Nothobranchius furzeri: one gene and its partner. The protein of the gene in region 1 binds, or shares a complex with, the protein of each later gene. Links are inferred from orthologs where the notes say so. Each region holds a gene or a part of one and is shown on either strand. Other genes may lie near its edges.

The links.
Region 2: ppfia1 (region 1) and phldb2a share a complex: the UniProt entries of both Homo sapiens proteins name them as parts of the cortical microtubule stabilization complex. The link is inferred for Nothobranchius furzeri from reciprocal best matches to the Homo sapiens genes PPFIA1 and PHLDB2.

Annotation. Positions count from the first base shown.
Region 1 is NC_091749.1:65,287,082-65,297,789, forward strand, and holds the start of ppfia1 (liprin-alpha-1), read right to left. Parts: upstream 5,355-10,708; 5' UTR 5,214-5,354; intron 3,080-5,213; coding exon 2,810-3,079; intron 1-2,809. UniProt on the Homo sapiens protein: May regulate the disassembly of focal adhesions. May localize receptor-like tyrosine phosphatases type 2A at specific sites on the plasma membrane, possibly regulating their interaction with the extracellular environment and their association with substrates.
Region 2 is NC_091750.1:45,866,265-45,876,964, reverse strand, and holds the start of phldb2a (pleckstrin homology-like domain family B member 2), read right to left. Parts: upstream 9,977-10,700; 5' UTR 9,932-9,976; coding exon 9,836-9,931; intron 7,159-9,835; exon of another isoform or gene 7,155-7,158; coding exon 7,052-7,154; intron 6,649-7,051; coding exon 5,702-6,648; intron 5,629-5,701; coding exon 5,296-5,628; intron 1-5,295. UniProt on the Homo sapiens protein: Seems to be involved in the assembly of the postsynaptic apparatus. May play a role in acetyl-choline receptor (AChR) aggregation in the postsynaptic membrane.

The DNA of each region.
Region 1 (10,708 bases):
TTCTCCGTTTTGGGTGTCTGCGTGTGGACAGACAAAACCGGAGTTTTAAGGTCCGCAACGTCACTTTCCGCGACAAAAAATGCTGACATCACGTGTGTACCTGTGTTTACACTAGCCGACAGCATGGATGCCCTCAGAGCTGCGCTCGCTTTATCAATTGTCCAAGCGCTTTTTGCTTGTTTGTTTTTGCAAGCGGAATTACTGCTCCTTGCGGAAGACCACAGACGATGCTGACTGGATACAATTCGGGGGAAGTACTGCCGCCTACAGGTCTGGCATGTCCTTAACAACGTATTTATCCGGGTACGTGTGGACAGAGTTTTTTTTTAAACGAGGTGGTGTGGATGCAAGTTTTTGGAGGGGCGGATATTCGTTTAAAAAAAAAACGGCTACGTGTGGACTAGGCCTCAGACAGCAGGTTTTTAGTGAATGTGACTACCACTGACTTGAAACGTGGATGTTTTACCTACACAAGTAGCGCAAGCCTGGAGGAGCTTCTACTGTGTGGTGGTGTTGCTAATGCTAATAGTTAGCTTAAACTTAGAGACGCCCGCTGCTGATTCCTGGACGTTAAAATAACAACAGCCTTCCCTGTCATTAGTCAAGATGGGTGAGTCCACGAACGCTAAATCACAGTGTGACGTAGATCTGCGACGATGTTCGAATCCTAGGGTTTCACTGCCTATTTTCTATCAGAAGCTAATGCAGGAGATAGGTGTAGGAGACTATTTATAGGTTCAGCTTGTGTGAAAAACTCAGAGTGATTGATTATAATCAGAAAAAGAATGCTTTTTCAGTCAACTACACCTTTAATAAAAAACAGCTAATGTTTGGATGTAATGTTTTTCTTTAATTTGTCAAGAAATAATCCCTCTGGATGTAAATTAGGTTGAGAATATTACTCAGGTCTACTGTACTACTATCATTTTTGTTTACATAACAAAAATCTGAGGACTAATTATAGTGAAAGAGTTTTAAGAGCCGAAGTTTGGGCTGAATTTTTCTGGTGAGAATTCAGCAGAACTCCCTTTAGGACGATGCTACAATCGGCTCTGCAGCCTCTCCAACTCTGCTGTTGCTCTCAGCCTGCACGGCTGTCACTTCCCTCCCTTTTTTAGTAAAATCTGACACACACGGGCTCTCTGTAGTGGAAACATGTTCTAGTAAAGCTGCAGCAATATTTACTAGATGACCAGACTTGTGTGCTGTTCTCCCATCCATAATTTAAAGGTGGAAACCTGAACCTGTCTTTATGAATATAAAACCCTGCTGAGTAAAACCAGCAGTAATTAATATAACAAAGACCTGCAAACCAAAGGACAAAGGAGAGGCTGCTGCTTCATCAGGGCTGAAAATAGCAGAAACTGAAAAACGACCATCACGAACTCATTAGCGTAAAGGACTGAATATATGGTGATCGTATGCAAAGTCGAGGTAAAAAAAGCACTGTATGTTCTACAGTTACCTATTAATATATAATGGATGCTGCTTCACTGCATGGAGGGGGTTTCCACCATCATCTCATTTTGTAAGTTCTCTTTGTTCACATGTGTCTCTATTGGGCCATTCCCATCTGTACCGGGTCGGCCCGGACCAGGTAGCGTAGGTTGTTTACATATCTGGGTGGCCTGGTAATTTTCCAGGCCAACCAAGGCTCATTCTCAGCCCTCTTCTCGAGGGGGTCTGCTTCAGGCCGACCAGGGCCAACACACCCACTGCTGACAGCAAATTCACACCTTCCATTAGAGCAAGCCTCTGATCGGTGGGTAGAATCAGCCCACATGGGCTTAAGACAAGGATGTGTGGAATCAACCGGGCCAGGCTGGGGCCGACTGGGGCTACCCGGCCCGGGCCGACCCGGTACAGGTGGGAATGGCCCATAAATTGCTACCTTTCCAGGTGTTCACCTGTCCTCAAAGTAGTAGCTACATCCAGTCAGTCTTCAGGTTGTCAGACAGGTCTGCAGACTAATCTGGTCATGCTGATGTAAAACCAGATGTTCTTCTCACAAGTGCTGCTGTGGGCCCCGCCCCCCAGCCGAAGCACTCACAAGCAGCCCAGTCCTCACATCGCTACCAGAGCAGGAGGCGTTTATCTCTCTGAGCTCAGATTGCAAACAATTTGCGTGTGTGTGTGCGTGCGTGCGTGCGTGCGTGTGTGAAACCCAAACATTGGAAAGCTAAAAAAAAAAAAAAAAAAAAAAAAAGAACAATAAAAAACAAAGAAGGGCAAAGTGACTCAGTGACCTTTGTCAGTCCCGTTCCAGGTAACCACGCCTAAAGGTGTGGCTGGTGAAAAATAAGCAAAAATGTATTTAAAACAGATGTTTATTCTAATAAAGATGGGTGATCTGCGGGACAGGGATATATTTTGATCCAAGTTTCAAATGAGTTTAAGGAGGAATGTCCAGATGAATATGGGAAACACTTGAAGGTAAGTGTTGCTATGGCTGCAGCGCTGCCTCAGTTATAGTTGTTTATAATGTTCAAATGAAAATCCACATCTATGTTTCACCGGCTTCCAGCTGCTTTAAGAGTTCAAACCAGTTTCCAGGATTTCCCTGATTTAAAAACAATTACCATAATTATTTATGTTTATGCTCTTAAACAACCAGGTTGCACGAATGGGTTAGCAGCAACTAAGAGCAGTGGTGATTACACAAAGTGAAATAATGAACCGATTTGAAAATTCTTATGTTTCATGACCCAAACCCAACACCAATAAGGTTTGACAAGAGAAAACAGGAGTTTAACCTTTAAATGAATGACTATTAATGATGCAGGTATGCTATTTCTGCATAAGGACTGACCTGAGGTAAGGCAGTGTTCAGCTGCCGCTGCAGCGAGTCTCTTTCATGGCTAACTTCATGCAGTTTGCTCTGGGTCAGGCCCAGATTCTCCTGAGTCTCTCTCAGCGTGTCCAGAAGGCGATCCCGCTCCTCTAACATGGAAACCATCAACGACTCAAAGTGCCCTTCAGAGTCTGACTGCAGAGGAGAGCCGGAGCCTCGGCGCCCAGTACCGTTCCCCCCACCAGGCCCTTCGGCCTCGCTGATTGTGGGCATCACCTCGCACATCATCTGCAGCCAGAGGTAGAGAGAAATGACAGAATTAAAGTTTGAAGATGAAAATCTGGAAGTCAAGTCAGGTGATTGGCTGCTTCTTTGGTTTTTGTATCTTTGAACAACTTAAGTGTCAGATGTTCATTTAAAAACGTGACCCTGTGGGTTTGAGGGGCCTTCCGTCAGAGGTCGCGGCTCCAAAGCCGTTGCTGCAGTTCAGAGACAGGTTTTCTCCATCTGTGAGGTTTGCCCTAATATATTAGATTAGATTATGAAAGTAAATTATGGCTGGAAAAAAATGGGAAAAGATTTTAAAAAAATAGTCATTGACTGTAAATTAGCTCACGTCCAAACAGCCGGTACAGGTCAGAGGACAAACTGCTCAGGCTGATAAAAGTTCTGGTTTAAAACCAACTGTTTTTACAAACCTGTCTGAACACATCCGAGATAAAGCATCACACAAGTTCAAAGGTCCAAATCTTTTAATCAGCAAACTTTAAAGACTGAGCAGAAAGGGTCTCAGCAGGTTGTTTCCTAAGCAGGTGGCTAAAGAAAATATCCAGTAGGCTGTTGGGATGGAGGGAAGCTTATGAGCCAACTTTAGGTTAACCCAAACAGGTGACCAATCAGAAACCTGGAGGTTTTGTGATTATTTCTACGCTGCAGCTACCAACCTCTACCAGCCTGAACACCAAGGGGCTTACAGTCTGTAGACCAAAGCCAGACACACTGCCCAGGAATCATGTGAGCTGGATTTAACACACCTACACGGAACAACAACCTAGGAATGGGGACAAGTCCTGTAGGAACTCTTGGAGAGCTAATATTTCCAGCAGTTGACTCTTCCAGCCGCCGAAAGGCTTCTTCATCTAGGATGCATCCAGCTGGGTGAACCCAGAGCTCAGCAGCACTCTGTTTGTTACATGCTAATTAACAAGACAAAACTCAATCTGCCATTCCTAATTAGCTCTTATCAGAAACAGCTAGTTTCATGTGATAAACACGGTTTCTGAGTTAAACTTAACCTAATTTACTGGAAGCAAAAATGCAGAACCAGTGTTGTCATATTGAGGTCAAGCCACTCAGAATCAGCTGTATGGGGGAGGGTCGTTCAGCATCAATGAGAGGTAGTGACAGATGGTGAGCAATTCAGGAGAGACACAAAAAAACTAGGGATAACAAATCGAAACCTGGATCAAAGACTCGGAGGAACAATTATCCTTAAATCCCTTTAACCAGTTATCAGTGTTCTTCATCCAGACCCGTAGGCCCAAACACCTCCGACTCTGACTCACAATCCCAAACACGGCTTCAAGGCTAAATAAACAGAAATGGTTTGCCTCGTATTTGTTTAGGCTTTTACATCAGCGATAGTAAACAGAAGTTATTCTTTAGTTTGAGTTCTGAAGATCATCTCGACCCCCGGGTGTAATACCTAGAACCTGTAGTAGCATCCCGACCCAAACTTTTGGAATCACTGACCTAGCCAACTGTTGACATCTAAGGTAAAGTTGAAAACTCTTAATTCAGGCCTCTTCCCTAGATTTCCCTCCCAGCAGTCAAACTCAAGTGCAGCCATTTTCCAAATCAACCTTTCTCAAACTGGCTGCTTTTTAACTTAATCCCAGTCCTCGTGGTGTACCATTTTAAGAACTTTTTGTTTATTTGAAACACAGGAAATTATATTCTAACAAGGTGATTACGGAAGAGCTCTCAGTCTGTGGAAAAATGGGAAAGTGTGCGATGAATGAAGTAGTTTCAGGTCTCTCATGGATCCTCCAGGTGGACATCTACCATAGGTCAGGATTTAGGGATAACAAAGTAAATGAATCAACACAACTCTGCTTCATCATTTGAGTTAAGAAGTATTTCATTAACTGCATAATTTATAGACTAAAGTGGTTTAATAAACTATGTGATGCCATTTCTTTGAGAATAGTCAGGAAGAAGTAAACAAACATGTTAAAGACCAACTTTAAAGGCCTGGAGAGGGGGGTGGGATTCTGAACAGTACTGGAGTTATTCATCATTACATCAAGATAAACCAAACTTGGATCATTCTGACCCAAACAAAGATGTAAAGTTCTGTCGAATTTACTAAAATAAAGTGACTGACAGCACAAAGTAACATAAACCATACTGTTGGACTCACCTTTGCAGTTTAGCGTTAATCCAAACTCTTTAAAATCCACGTTTTGTAAATGAAGTTAAACAAATCCAACAGCCTTCAGAGACTTCTGAAACATCCAGTCATTTAAAACATGTAAATCCCGTTCAGACACCAAGATTAAGGCTGAAATGGGGTCTTCTGGGAAGAAAAAACAGGATGATTTCCTTAAGGCCTCAAACCCACAAAGTGAGCAGGGGGTAGTATTCCCAAGTTTGGCCGGCTAACTTGGCGTTAGCATGCTAGCTGATAAGAGAGCTGGTGATTCGAAGATCGCATACCTGAATTTGGAAGTCAAGTGTTTATCTTTGCGTCACAAGACAAACGGCCACCGTAAAATATGAAGCAAAACTCGATAAAAGTAGCATTTCTTAACTGGCCCACGGGTGCTGATGGAGTCAGCTGACGTGGAAACTGTTGCAGCCTAGCTAGTTAATTTGAAACAGAAATCTTTGGCTTGAAGTCAGCTTAAAGTCGGCAGCTACTAGCCTGCTAGGTAGCTAACGCTCGCCAATTTAATTTAGTAACTTTTGAGCTAAATCTCATATAAAAGTACATAACATTATAGAATGTGCGACACAAAACGCACTATTTGATTTCTAAAACAATAAATCCCGAAGTAGATCTCCTGAGATCTAAGAAACCGATGTAGTGTTTGTCTCCCGGCTAGCGTTAGCTTCCCGGTGGAGTCTCGTCACCACATCCCGGCTGCGTTCCGTTCGACTCGGAAACTTCCAGCCAACACCGAGCTGTCTGCGACGTTCCTGGTCCGTTTGGGAAATCCAAACTTAAACATTCGTGGTTTATGTCCAAGTTTCAGAGGTTTCTTCGGTGTTTTCCACTTTAGCGGTCCGCGAGTCGTGTCCTTTGCCGTCGCCACTGCCTGCCAGCCTGGGCAGTCGGGACAGCCTGACGGTCTGCGGGAGGAGAGCGCTGCTTCCCGGCTGGCTGGAGGAAAAGGAACAGCAGCAGCAGCATTCCCAGTTCCTGTGGGGATCCGAGGCTCAGGTTAATAATCCTAACAAACATGCAAACTTTTTTTTTTTTTTGTAAATGTGGAGGATTTACACTTTGGTCCTAATGAACAAAGATGACAAAACTGTTTAGATAAACTAGAAGCGTTTATTATGTCGCTGCAAAAGTGAATTAATTTAAAAAAGTTAAAATAAGGCTTTGAAAAAAAAGATTTCTACAATCTAGGTATGGTTTATTTCAGCCCTAAACTCAACCCACTTCAAAACATTAAGTTTATATTAAATACGTTGATGTTAAAAACACACACAACATTTGTCTTACCAAAAGTAAAAATGTAATATTGGTAAAGTTTAAGAATTTTGCAGCTCAGCTTCTGTAATTGTGAAATTCTTCAAGACCAAGTTTATCGAGAAACCATTATTTACTTTTTTATATATGTATATAAATGATCGGTCTTTCTGAAACATGCAAGCTAAACATTAAAATATTCCATCCATCCATAGTCTGAACCCGCTTTGTCCATGTAGGGTCGCGGGGGGGCTGCTATCTCCAGCGGTCAATGGGCAATCAAGCGGGGTACACCCTGGACAGAGAGCCAGTCCATCGCAGGGCAACATGAAAATATTCTTCTGTCCCAATTTCCTGCTTTAGTCGCTGACAGAGAATAGACAGGCAAAGGCTCGGATCAGAAAAGACAGTCAGTTCTATGTCACATTGAAGATTACCTTTCAAGGATCACCCATCTTTAGGGATGGGTACCTTTGACATTTGAATCGATCCGGTACTAATTCCCGGTACCTACGAGTCGATACCGGTACTTAACGGTACCAATTTTCGATACTTTTGAGTGTTTATTATTTTAATTCTCTTTTATAATTAAATATATATTTTTCTCAATATATATATATATAACCATATTTGATAAATATCACGATAAATAACATACAAGTTTGTATTTTAACATCGTCCTTGTAGTTTTATAAGCTGATAATTAAACTGAAGCAAACATCTTTACTGTGAACTAAATTTACTGTGTATCTTCATTCCTTTTGCCGTCCTTTTTCATTTGATTTTTCCTACTGGGAAGTAAGAATTTCCGAGGAGAAAGCGAACGCACCATTAGCTGGTAACAACGGTGGCAATGGAAGCTAACATATCAAGCTAACGTTATCTTTAACAGTTTATTTAGCTGATGGAGCAGATTAAAACGATGATGCCTCAAACTTAGATCGTTGTCGCTGGTTTTACCTTCATCCATTCACCCGTCGCATTTAGTAAAGTAAAGCCAAACTTTAGAGCGCGTTCATGTTCTTCTAGTCGGAAATTCGGAGTTCCGAGGAGAAAGCGAACGCACCATTAGCGAAACGGAAGCTAACAAATCAAGGTAACGTTATCTTAAACATTTTATTTACCTACTGGAGCAGATTAAGATGAGGATGTCTCACTTAGATCGTTGTCTGTCGCTAGTTTCATCACCCAGTTACCCATCACATTTAGTGAAGTGGACCCAAGCTTTAGCGTGCGTTCTTTCTACCATGCTTGCTCTGTTTACAACGGGCTCGCAGGGACCGGCAACATAACGCTCTTGCGCATGCGCAACTGTCTTGGCAGTACCGAAACGAGGCACCGTTTGAAATGACGTGAATCGGTGTTCGGTCGGTACTATGGAATTCGGTCGGTACCTTAAAAAGTACCGAATTCGGTACTCATCCCTACCCATCTTGACTTGTGACTGGGAAGTTTGTTGTTCATTTAGCATCCAGGAGAGAGCAGAGCATGTCTCGGCTAATAGAAGCTAATCGTTAGCATTAGCAACTCCACAATATGGCAGAACTCCTTCCGGTTTGAGTTATTTGTGGAGATTAAACATAAATGTAGTCTGTAGTGGAGTTGAATTGCTGTTAACTAATCAGAGATTAGATGTCCAAATATCAGGAAATGACACTTCATTTCCTGCTGTCTTCTTCTCACCTCTGGTAAGCCTGATATAACTGAAGACGAAACAGAGATGGTGGCAGAAGAGTTAGATGCCTGAGTCTGTCGTACGCTGGCATCACCAGTCCCTCTGGCCACCACCAACAGGCAAGGTGGGTTAAGTGCAGAGGTGTGGACTCGAGTCACGTGACTTGGACTCAAGTCAGACTTGAGTCATTATTTTAATGACTTCTGACTTGACTTGATAAAATTATAAAGACTTACGACTTGACTCGGACTTGAACGCCAATGACTTGTGACTTGAATCGACTTGCATCTGTTGACCTGATGATGACTTGAGCATATTTGATATTTTAGCACAAAAGTGGCACGGCATGGACAAAAATCATAAATCATTCTTTGTTCTGGGTTTGATTTATTGCTAAATGCAGCAGCACTTTGCTTACAATCAACTTCAGCTGCACTTTCTACTTGTTTGAGGAAATAAATTAAGCTTTAAGAAGTTTTACTTTAAGAATTTATTTATTATCATTGTCATTAAATTGAAGTTTGACAGATAACTTATGACTTCACCTGGACTTCCACATTATTGACTTTGGACTTGACTCGAGACTTGACTGGAAAAACTTGTGACTTACTTGTGACTTGCAAAGCAGAGACTTGGTCACACCTCTGGTTAAGTATCTTGCCCAAGGGCACATCGGCAGCGTGCTCTGCCGGGAGCCGGGATCAATTCTACAATGTTTACTGGACAACCCACTCTACCCTCTGAACTTCTGCTGCCCAACATATCAATTCATTTGGTAAATGTATTTGATATAGCACCTTCTAGATTTCTGGAACCCCCCAAGGCACTTTACAACGCAATCATTAACACACACATTCACACCCTGGTGGTGATGAGCTACATTGTAGCCACAGCTGCCCTGGGGCTCACAGCTGTACACAGGCACCACCGGTCCTTCCGGGTTAAGTGTCTTGCCCAAGGACACAACGACAGCGACAGACTGAGCAGGCCTGCAACCTTCCGATTACGGGGCGAGCACTTAACTTCTGTGTCACCGTCGCCCCATCATTTGGTGTAATAAAACACACTACAAAAAAAAGTTAAATTGGTCAAAGATTATTGATCACTGATCATGGGTTGCAGACAGACAATGGTCAGTCTGCTTAAATGACGTGCGCTCCTGGATGTCGGCAAACTTTTGTGTTTTAATGACGAGATGGAGCTTGTGGTGTTCACACAAAATGAGCATCTTCTTTGAACTTCTACACCACAAGCACACCCTAGAACTAATGAACAACTAAAATAATGTGCAGATTATTAGCTTACTAGCTTCAATTTTGGTAAAATAAAGAAATCACAAAATATAAGAATAAACCTATAACTTTTGTCCACTAGTAGTCAAACTGGTGGTCCTTTTGCATCAATAACATTTTTGAAGCTTAGGGTAACAGGAAGTGACATCATGGCACAGTGATCTTAAATTAAACATATCTAGTAAAATCTTTATAATTTCACTCAAAAAATCAAATATTATTAAAGGTTGAAAATGGAACAGTTTAATAAAAAGCTGTGTGTTTTTTAAATAATACCTCCACTGAGTGTTTAGATGTGTGCAGAGTGAAGGTATTTCCTTTAAAAGTTATATTTTAATAAGAAAATAATCTAATATTTATTTTTGGTTTATGTTTACATCTAGCAGCCACGAGAGGGCACCATTGTGGGTTGCCAAAGTCCGTTTGGCACATTGAAGTGGCTGACCTGGCAAGTCAAGCAGCTGCTTCTGAGCCCAGAACATGTTATCCTTCTCAGAAGAGGAGCAACCATAAAAGATCTAAAACCCGACTGAGTTTAGGTGAAGCCTGAATAGATGGACCCAAATAAAAATTTCACATATCAGCAGCGAACCTGACATCCCGATGGCTGGAAACCTTCTTTTGTGCGTTCATTCTGTGTGTTTCATCTGACTGCATTACTTGGTTATTTTTCAACAGAGAAAATAGTTGTTTTGCCTTTTCCTGTTTTTGCTGACCTTTCGACCACTACTTCAATCTTCCTTAGAGCTCTTCTCCAACTACAACCTCCACATACTAGATGTCGCTTTGGTGTTCGTGTTCCATGTTCAACCTCTAATTCTGTGCACTCATAAATGCTACAAAAATGTGGCAAATAAAAAAAGTACTTTAAAGAAACACGTTAAAGGTGTGGATCACTGAAAAACCATTTTTAAAATCTTATTTCTGATTATAACGGGCCACTCTGAGTTTATCATGCAGGCTGAACATGAAAATAGTCTCCTACACCTATCTCCTGCATTAGTTTTGGAGAGAAGATAGACAGTGAACCTCTTGAATTAGAAAAGCCTGACAGATCTACGTCACACTGTCACTTAACATTCATGGACTCATCCATCTTGACTCACAACAGGGAAGGCTGTTGTTGGTTTAGCGTCCAGGAAACAGCAGAGGACATCTCAGCTAGTAGAAGCTAACTGTTAGCATTAGCAACTTAACCACACAGCAGAAATCCTTATGGCTTGGGTTATTTGTGGAGATGAAACATCAAC
Region 2 (10,700 bases), on another chromosome or scaffold:
ACAGATCGCACCATCTGGCAACATCTCATGCACATCCCTTCTCCCTCATCTGTGGATGACACCACTTCTAAACTCATGTTTACCCAAAGCTCCAAGAGGATTGTTCTGGTTGGAGTCTGCAGGATTTCTCAGATGTTAAAACCTTTTCGTCCTTCACACAGTCATTTGAGGAGATGTGGGATTATTTGGAGTTATTCAAGTTCATTTTCAATTACTTTAAACTGAAAGTGAATAAAAGCTGATTGTTTTAAATATAAAGTGGTTCCCTGCTCTAGCTGTATTCTGTTTTGTACGTTTCCATCCTTTTCACATCAGCACAAAGTTCAAACCATCTGGAAAAGCGAATGTCTTTGTAATGCATATACACTTGCGTTCCTCCGGCTGTGCACTCACATGCACACACATGCATGCACACTAATTCACAGTGGGATAAAGCCATTTCCTGTCCCCCTCCTCCTTCAGGAGTATGAATGGCTCAGCTCTGAAACAAAACTCTTCATTAGAACCAGACACATCAGTTTGTTGCTTATTCAGGGGGGAAACGAAGAGCTGGAGTGGAAAATGATGCCTCTCTGGGAGCAAAAGGGGTATTTAAGCTGGTTCATTTATTTTTCCAACGTGAGCGGTGAGGCTTGCCAGTGTAATAAATCCAAAAAAGGTGTTGAAATTAAAATGAGGTCAAATAATAGAATCAGCAAAGCTGTTTCCTAGGAAACACTGAAAAGGTCTCAAAAAGGCTTACATTAAAACAGTTTTACAGACAACACCAACACATTAAACGCTGTTATATCCGACTCTGCGTTTTATTCAAGTAAACAGAGTTTTGGCTTCAATGTTTTCTGTCTCTGAAAATGGGAATCGGAAACATAGTTTACCTTGGAATGGGGAGAAATGACTGCTATTATAGGAGGTAAACAAACACGACTAAACTGCATTCCACAAAAGGAGGTCATCCCAGTGGTCCTCCTGTGAGTTGGACTTGTTAAAGGGTGCGGTGAGCCCACTTGGTTCCCTTTTGGATTTTGTAAAGCTTTATGTGAAAAACCTGGGTTTTTTATGGATGGTTCGTTTAAATTGGACAGACAGATAAGTGCAGTGGTCCAGTCCGGTTTTTATCACTTGAGGCAGCTTGCAAAGGTTAAGTGCTATTTGCCGGTCACTGTCTTTGAACATGTTATTCATCTCTTTTGGGCCATTCTCATCTGTACCGGGTCGGCCCGGGCCGGGTAGCGTAGGTTGTTTACATATCTGGGTGGCCTGGTATTTTTCCGGGCCAACCAAGGCTCATTCCCAGCCCTCTTCTCGAGGGGGTCTGCTTCAGGCCGACCAGGGCCAACACACCTACTGCTGACAGCAAATTCACACCTTCCATTAGAGCAAGCCTCTGATTGGTGGGTAGAATCAGCCCACATGGGCTTAAGACAGGATGTGTGGAATCAACCGGGCCAGGCTGGGGCCGACTGGGGCTACCCGGCCCAGGCCGACCCTGTACAGATGGGAATGGCCCATTTGTCTCCTGTCGACTAGATTACTGCAATTCCCTGTATTATGGATTAGGGCATTCCTCCTTAAACCGCTTGCAACTGGTTCAAAATGCGGCAGCCCGCCTTTTAACAGGTACAAGGAAGCATGACCATATCTCTCCAGTGCTTGCTTCCCTTCACTGGCTCCCAGTGCATTACAGGATTCAGTTTAAATTGTTGCTTTTTGTTCATAAATCACTTAATGGTCTGGCCCCTCCTTATATAGATGATTTATTGTCAACCTACACTTCTGCCAGGAATTAGCGGTCGGGCTCACAGTTTTTATTGTCAGTTCCAAAGACTCGCCTAAACGCGAGAGGAGATATGTCACAGTGTGCCGGTGAGTGAGACGGTGGTGAGGATCCAAGTGCAGGGGAAGAAACAGGCCGGGAGGCAGACAGAAACATTTAAAACACTGATTTAATGGAGGACACGCAGGACAATGAAACAATGAGCCAACCAGACAAAATGGACTAACAGGGTTTAAATACAGGAGGAGCTGGGACCTTGGGTGATTGGGAGACGAGAGGCAGGTGGGACCAATTACCATGGACACAGGACTGAACACAATGGGGAGACAGGACAGGGTGTGACAAGATAGGGCAATTTCTGTGGCCGGCCCTACACTCTGGAACAGCCTTCTTCTGCAGATCAGGACCTCTCAAAATCTGGATGTATTTAAGTCCTTGCTTAAAACTCATTTCTTCAACCTGGCTTTTATGTAGGATGATTTAATTTTTGTCCTTGTCATTCTTTCTCATTTTTATTGATTTTATAATTGTGTGATGTAATGTTGTTTTTATCCTAACTTGCTAATTTGAATGATTTTTTGGTTTTTAGTTTCCTTTCTTGCTATATTATCTTGTGTGTTGTACAGCACTTTGGGTTGCAAAAGCAATAATAAGTGTGCTTTAGAAATAAACGTGACCTTGACCTTCGCTTTTCTGAACTAAACTAGCATTCTGTAACAGGAAATGACAAAGTGCAGAGAAAAGTCTTGGTTACCTCACTGTGGGCAAAACCTTCACTTATGATGTCCGAAGTGTCTGAAGTACCATCATCACGATTAGCTAGTGCATATCTCCGTCTCTTACTTACCGCTGTAGAACATGTAGCCGTGGTGTTGAAACGTTTAATGTATCAGAGTCAGAGTGTTTACATTTGAATAATGAAACCATTTCTGATAGAGACGACTCTTCCGGTAACAAGTGTGTACATTGCAGTAAATAGAAGGTACGACATTTTATAAATGGATGGATGGATTGATGGATGGATGGATGGATGGATGGATGGATGTGTAGTGTGATTAATTGTCCATTTGTGACCTAAAAGGCCCTGCTCTGTTTTGCTCTGCTCAAAGCAAAACTACAAGTTTTTGACACAAACCTAATCTGCATGAGATATTTCTCAAGGTCTCATGCTCTGCTTCTAAGCTGTTTCTTATTTTCCAGCTCAAGAGAAGAAGACGAACACTTCCTTTTTAATAAATCAGAACTCTTTCTCTATTTTTAATAAGCTAATCAAACAAAGTGTTAGTCCAAAAATAAAATGTGAACCAATCTGTGAAGTGACAATGTTTATGATCAGTAGTTATAATAAGTAATATAACTTTAAATATTTCCACTAGAGACTGATCACATGTAGTGCTAAGATCACGTGACACATTTCCTTTTTCTGATCCAATCAGAGCCTTCCAGATCTGATGCATGGCGTGGTTTTATTGGTGCTTTGTAAATCTGTCCTTTTTTGATTCGACTGTAAATCAAAACCTCCAAATTATAAAACTATGCCCACATCATCTTAACTTCAGTTCAAGCATTCTAGAGAAGTTGTCGGAGTGGCCAATCCATAACTTTCCTCTTCAGCCGAAAGAACCTAACGACAAGCTGGAATAAATCTGTTGCATGTTCCCCCTGCTGCAACGGTTCCTTTCAGAATAAAAGCTGAACCATCACGACCCCCTTTTTGGGTCTCGCTAGATGCCAATAAACCTGTTGTGACCTGGAAGTATCTCAAGACTGGTCTGGCCGACAACCGCTGCATTTCCTACCGGCTTTGGTTCCAGAGAAGGTCAAGCTGGACCTCGACATTCCTGATCTAACGGGGACTTCCACTAAGGGTACGTAGGCCGGCAGAATGGCATCTCAATGTGTGTTATAAATCTCCAAACCAAAGCTTGGCGCGAAACATCCTCTTCAGTCCCATCAGAACTAATCGTTTCTCCGGATTTGCTGGTTCTGAACAACATTCCACACTACACCGTCCATCTTGCCTCATTCACCCCTAGATCCATTCATCACACAGAGTGTTTAGTGTTTAAAGTTAGTCTAGTTTGTTTAGTAATAAATCTTTAAACTTTTAAAACTTGACTCTCTTTCTTTTGTCTCTGAGTTAATACAAAGTGGTTACATAATCCCTGCAATAAAAAGTTCCAATTTTCTGGTTTAAATTATCCAAAGATCCATAAGATTGATTTCATATTTCTTATTATGGAATCTCATATTTTATGGTTCATTAAATAATATGTAAATTTAATCGTTACAGATGGATGGATGGATGAATTGATGAATACATGGGTGGATGGATGAATACATGGGTTGATGGATGGATGGGTGGATGGATGAATGGTTGAATGCATGGATGGATGGATGAGCGGATGGATGGATGAATGCATGGGTGGATGGATGGATGAATAGATGAAAGCATGGGCGGATGGATGGATGGATGAATGGATGAAAGCATGGGTGGATGGATGGATGAATGGATGAATGGATGAATGGGTGGATGGATGGATGAATGGATGAATGAATGAATGCATGGATGGATGGATGGATGGATGGATGGATGGATGGATGGATGAATGGATGGATGAATGAATGCATGGATGGATGGATGGATGGATGAATGGGTGAATGGATGGATGGATGGATGGATGGATGAATAGATGAAAGCATGGGCGGATGGATGGATGGATGAATGGATGAAAGCATGGGTGGATGGATGGATGGATGAATGGATGAATGGATGAATGAATGCATGGGTGGATGGATGGATGAATGGATGAATGAATGAATGCATGGATGGATGGATGGATGAATGGATGGATGAATGAAAGATGGATGGATGGATGGATGGATGGATGGATGAATGGGTGAATGGATGGATGGGTGGATGGATGAATGGTTGAATGCATGGATGGATGGATGAGCGGATGGATGGATGAATGCATGGGTGGATGGATGGATGAATAGATGAAAGCATGGGCGGATGGATGGATGGATGAATGGATGAAAACATGGGTGGATGGATGGATGGATGAATGGTTGAATGCATGGATGGATGGATGAGCGGATGGATGGATGAATGCATGGGTGGATGGATGGATGAATAGATGAAAGCATGGGCGGATGGATGGATGGATGGATGGATGAATGGATGAAAGCATGGGTGGATGGATGGATGGATGGATGAATGGATGAATGAATGCATGGGTGGATGGATGGATGAATGAATGAATGAATGCATGGATGGATGGATGAATGGATGGATGAATGAATGCATGGATGGATGGATGATGGATGGATGAATGGGTGAATGGATGGATGGATGGATGGATGGATGGATGGATGGATGGATGGATGGATGGATGGATGGATGGATGAATGGATGGATGAATGAATGCATGGATGGATGGATGGATGAATGGGTGAATGAATGGATGGATGGATGGATGGATGGATGGATGGATGGGTTATGGTCAGAAGAAGCATACCTTGGCTCTGTGGTGTGTGGAGGGGGAGGGGGCGCTGCTGTTCAGGCTGATAGCTGGTGAGAGGGACCTGGCCTGCCTGTAGCTGCTCTGCTGATGTTGGGTGATCTGCTGCTCCTCAGAAAACTGTAAATCTCTGACTTTGGCCACAAAACTGCAGTCTGGAGCGGTGCTGCTGGGGGAGTCGGAGAACACAGATTCATCGTCCGACACCTGCAGCTTTTCCAGCTCCTTATTGATCTTCTGCAGATCAGTAACAGCTGAGCCCGCTGGCTCTCTCACCACCTGTCCAAACTCAGTGCACAGGTTCAGGATGGACTCTAGACGCTGGCATTCCTGCACAAAGGAGATTCACCATGTTTTTTATAAAATTATGAAACCATATGAGAATGAACAGAGAGCTGCTCACCAGTCGCTGAACTTTCTGCTCCCTGAGTCTCTCATCTCTTTGATGCTGGTGGTAGTCTCTCAGCTCCTCTTTGCCATTCAGAGAACTGATGCTACCCACTCTCTGTCCTGGACTCAATCCACCCTTCCCAAAGGACATTCTTCTCTCCCCTAAGCCCAGGTCTAGGCCCGTCCCATCTATCTCCACACCCAGAGAGCTCAGAGAAGCTAAACTGGACCTCCTTGATGTGCTGGGCATACTGGCTGGTACTGTGACATCTGGAGGCTGCTCCAGGGAGGAAAGACTGCGTCTCTGACCCACCGACACCGCTCCTCTGTGAGAACCCACTGAGTGACGGGATGGCAGCGAGAGAGCCGGGGGCTCTGCTGCGTTGTGAAGTCGAGGCAAAGAGCGGCTGTGCATCCCCAGATTGTTGAGGGAGCCGGTGGAATATTTCCTCTGTCTGGAGTCTCCTCCAGCTCTGCCCTGAGAGTAGAGCCTACGGCCCATTCGAGGGCTGGATGGCATACTTGCTGCTCCGCTCTTGACCCTTGGAGAACGAGGCCCTGTTTCTCCGTAGGAGGAGAGCAGGGAGCTCCCATCTGCTGCATTAGAGAGCAGCAAACTGTCCTGTGACTGGTGGCGAGAATAGGAGTGACGAAGCAAACCATTAGAGCCAATCTGGCGTTCTCCCTGACGCGGTGATGGAGGCACACTACTGCTGCTGATGTAAGAAAAGTTTCTGGAGACAGACGGAGGCTTCTCTGTGCTGCTGAGGACCGACAGCGGCCTGGTGGACTGGCCCAGGTACTTGCGGCTGCACTCCGCTGCCCTCAGGCTGGCTTCCAGTGCACTCTTCCTGCGCTGCAGCGTCTCCATCAGCTCTTGAAGTTCCGCTTTAGAGCGAGAGCCCCTCAGCAGTGTCCCCCCCACTGACCTACCGCTGCTGTGCTCAATCTTCACACAGTCTGCAGAAAACAGAAAGTTGACAGAGCATGAAGTTCTGTTCCTCTTTTGACTTAATCAAAGGCCTCTAACCCACATAAAGGGAAACCGGCCTAAATGATATGCAACCACTTTTACGCTGAGTAAGAGGGGAAAACCAGTGGGGAATGTACGCTCACACAAGTCTGAGGCCAACACAAACAGAGGCTCAGTCATCGGTTAAGTCTCTTCTAAAAATGGAAGAATGCTGGTGAACCAAGACAAGGCAGAATACACCATCGTCTCAGCTGACAGAAAAATCCTGAGGATGACTGATTAACTAGCTGAGTGGTGAAAGTGTCAAAACGAGTGTGGCAAGACCCCAGATTTATAACACATGTAATTACACATATCCCTTAATGTCCAAATATAACTCGTGAGTCTTACCCGAGCCGAAGCCCAGAGCGGAGACAGAGCTCCTCTGAGGAAGCATGCTGTTCATTAGTGACCTCCTCTTCTTCAGGGGAGCAGAGCGAAGGGTGGAGGATTCCTGCCTGACAAAGGAGACAAGATCAATAAGAAACGCTCAGCCTGCCGACCAGCGACACACTGACATAGATTCATGTTGTATCTGTGTTTGAGCTCCGATAGGGAGAGCGGGCATTTCCTGGTGAGCTCAGATCAAAGTTGAATAAAAAGTGTCACTCTAACCAACAGCTGTTGCTACATCAGAGCTAACTGATTAAAAATTAAAACATTTAAAAGCTCCTTCATCATGCTGTCTACAGCCTCGCCCACCCCTAAAGTGTTGCTGCTTCAGAAAACTAAACAGGGAAGTCTCAAGTAAGTCAAATCACAAAACTACAAAGTACACGATTACATCATGGACTGAGGCATCGCATCAGAAACGATCAAACGAACAGGAAACAAGCCCGGCGGACATTCGCCCAACACAAGGGGGCCCACCAGCTCTCTCTGGCAGTTCCTTCTTCAGGCTAACCTGGTAAAAAGATAAACGTTGGTCTCGCAAATAGGAGCAAACGCTGACAAAGACCCAAAACACATGGATGACTGCAATATAACCTAAAGCCCACCCCATTCAAGATGGTGGTCAAGGCTAATAGAAAACATTCAAATGGATATAATTGTTTGTTTTTACAGATATTTACCGATGTGGTCTCAGTCACACACAACACCAAGCACTAGGGGGTCTGCTTTGTTGTGGAAGTCTATGCTTAATCGTTTCTCTGCATAGATATAAGCACCATAGCAGATATAAAAGGTGAAGAACAAATATTGTATAGCTCCATTAATAAAAGTCAAATGTTTATTTCTCAGTCAGGAAGTCCCAGTGGATATTCCAGATGTTCCCATTCCCAGAGACAAAGTGTTTAAACAGATCCTGAGCTTTAGGGTCTGGCTACAGTTCCCAGTGAAGTCTGAAAGGCAGCACGTTGCACATTAATGATGTTTTAACTCTACACAGCCAAAGGCTCTAAGGCAAGGGTGTCAAACTCATTTTAGCTCAGGGGCCACATTGAGGGAAATCTAGTCCCAAGTGGGCCGGACCGGTAAATTAAAAAAAACTTCAGATAGTTTTCTTTGTTTTAATACAATCAATATAAAACAAGGCTGGAGCCTGAGGACAGTGTATCCAAAATAGTACAAGTACAACACCTGAAGTGTACTTGAAAATTTGAAAAAAAAAAAAAAAAATTAAAAAAACATTCCTTAGTGATTCAAAGAGCTTACAGATCACATGGCAAGATCAGTTTCATGCAGCACTTAAAGTATATTTGACTCATTTTACTTTACATTGTTTAGCTTTCACCAGCACATCAATATCAGGAGTCACATTCTGAGTGACAGCCAACTTCAGGATGTGATTCAAGTTCTTGTGTGAGCCTTGAGCGCAGCTTTGTTTTATTTATACTCATTACAGAGAAAACTTGCTCACAACGATAAGTTTATTTTCACTCTACATTGTAAAGTATGAAAATAAAGTTTACACAACCATCCCGCGGGCCGGATTTAACCCGCTTGTGGGCCGGATCCGGCCCGCGGGCCGCATATTTGACACCCTTGCTCTAAGTGAAGAACTGTGTGGTTCTTGGACCAAAAATGAATAAATCAACCCACAAATCCCTGGTCTAGTTCAGGATGGTGTTGAAAGTCAGACATAACTTTTTTCTGAATCCCCAGAGAAAGGCTGATCTGAGAGGCTCTGGTCCTGCTGTCTGGAGAGAGAGAGAGAGAGAGAGAGAGAGAGAGAGAGAGAGAGAGAGAGAGAGAGAGAGAGAGAGAGAGAGAGAGAGAGAGAGAGAGAGAGAGAGAGAGAGAGAGAGAGAGAGAGAGAGAGAGAGAGAGAGAGAGCCAACAGGAAGCAGGGTATCCACTTACACACTCATGCATCCAGTCAGCATGAGTTCATTCTCCAGACCTCCAAGAAAGAAGGAGGGGAGAGAGGAGAAGGACCCCCCCCCCACCCCACCCCCCCACCCCACCCCCACCCCCGAGCATCAAGTAAAAGGCTGGAGGTGTTGCTGCATCAGCTACGCTGCAGCTCTGCAGGCTCATCAGAAACACACTAGGAGATGTAAACAGTTTGTGGAATGATGGCTGATAAGACATCTTTCATCTGAGGAAAAGTATTCCCAGATTGTGTAAGAAAGCCCCAACCCTAACGGCCTCGCTTGCTTCGCTCGTTCAGACAAGCGTTAGTTAATTTTCCGTGGAAAGAAAAGGACAACTTGTGGAAAACTTTACGAGCATGAAAAAGCAATTATTTAAAAATCTGAACGTACAAAAGTCAAACCACAAAAACTGGTGCAGGAAAACAGTCTGACAGTCAACCCAACAGACATTTTATTATTTCATGTTTTTAGGAAAACATTTTGACATCTAAACAGAGCAAAGCCTGAACAAACACAGGATGTAATCAGATTACAAAAATCATTCATGATTTGTTTGTTTTTGAGCACTAACATCTGTATTTCATATGTTACATGAATGAGCTGGTTTTCTTAACGTTGTAAAGTTTTGGTGCATTAAAGAAACATTTGAATTGTTTTAAATCTGAGTTCAGATGTCATCGATTAAAGTTGAACAGAAAACTTTTCCAGCTTAGTGCAGATGTGTTTGTGTCATCTCATGCTGATTATGTAATTCTGCAAGCCTGCATCAAATATGCTCCTGAGTAAACAACTTGTAGATAAAAGAAGAGAGACTGACCTCAGTTACATGTCTAAAGATTCTCTGATGAGCGCGAGTTGGAGTTGGAGCTGAACTCCTCCGTCTGTCTGAAACAGCAGAGGAAAGTCTTCCCATGACAAAGGAGCAGACAGGAGACCCTCTCCCCTCCCACCTTCAAACCTCTGAGACGTTCCCTCTCCAGGAGAGAGAGAGAGAGAGAGAGAGAGAGAGAGAGAGAGAGAGAGAGAGAGAGAGAGAGAGAGAGAGAGAGAGAGAGAGAGAGAGAGGGGCATTTGCGTGAGGCTCTGCTGCTGCCCCGCTCTGGTTGGGCAGAGAACTGCTCATAAAGTGGAACAAAAGCCTCTATTATCATAATAAGTTTAGATCTGAAAGTAAAATCAATATTTAATCTCCTACTGAGACTCTTGGTTCCTGTAAGCAGCTGGCTCTGACCTTTGACCTCACTGTGGTCGATATGTGAATGTTAGATCATGTTTCAGCACAGAAACTCACACTAACTCCCTACATCATCCCTTCTCCCGTTTGATCCATTCAGTTACCCCAAAATCTGACTTTATTTGGGTTTTTACCTCCACACAGGGAGCCTCCTACAGCTGTGTGTTTCTGAGAAGACAGTAAGAGTGTGTTCTTTAAATTGAAATAAAACATCTTGAAATTGTTGTTTGAGCAGTGTGGAGACGGGGTGGGCGGGTGGGGGGGGGGGGGGGGGTGTCTGCGTTTGCGTTTGACACAGGGCCAGCATCAAACCCCCGACAACTAAAAACCCCTAAAGCCAGCGTCGATCTCTCTCAGTTGCTGACTTTAACATAACAACCAAACAGAATTAATGAAAAGTAACTTGTAGGAACATTTCCCCCTAAATCCAGTCAAAATGAAACCATTT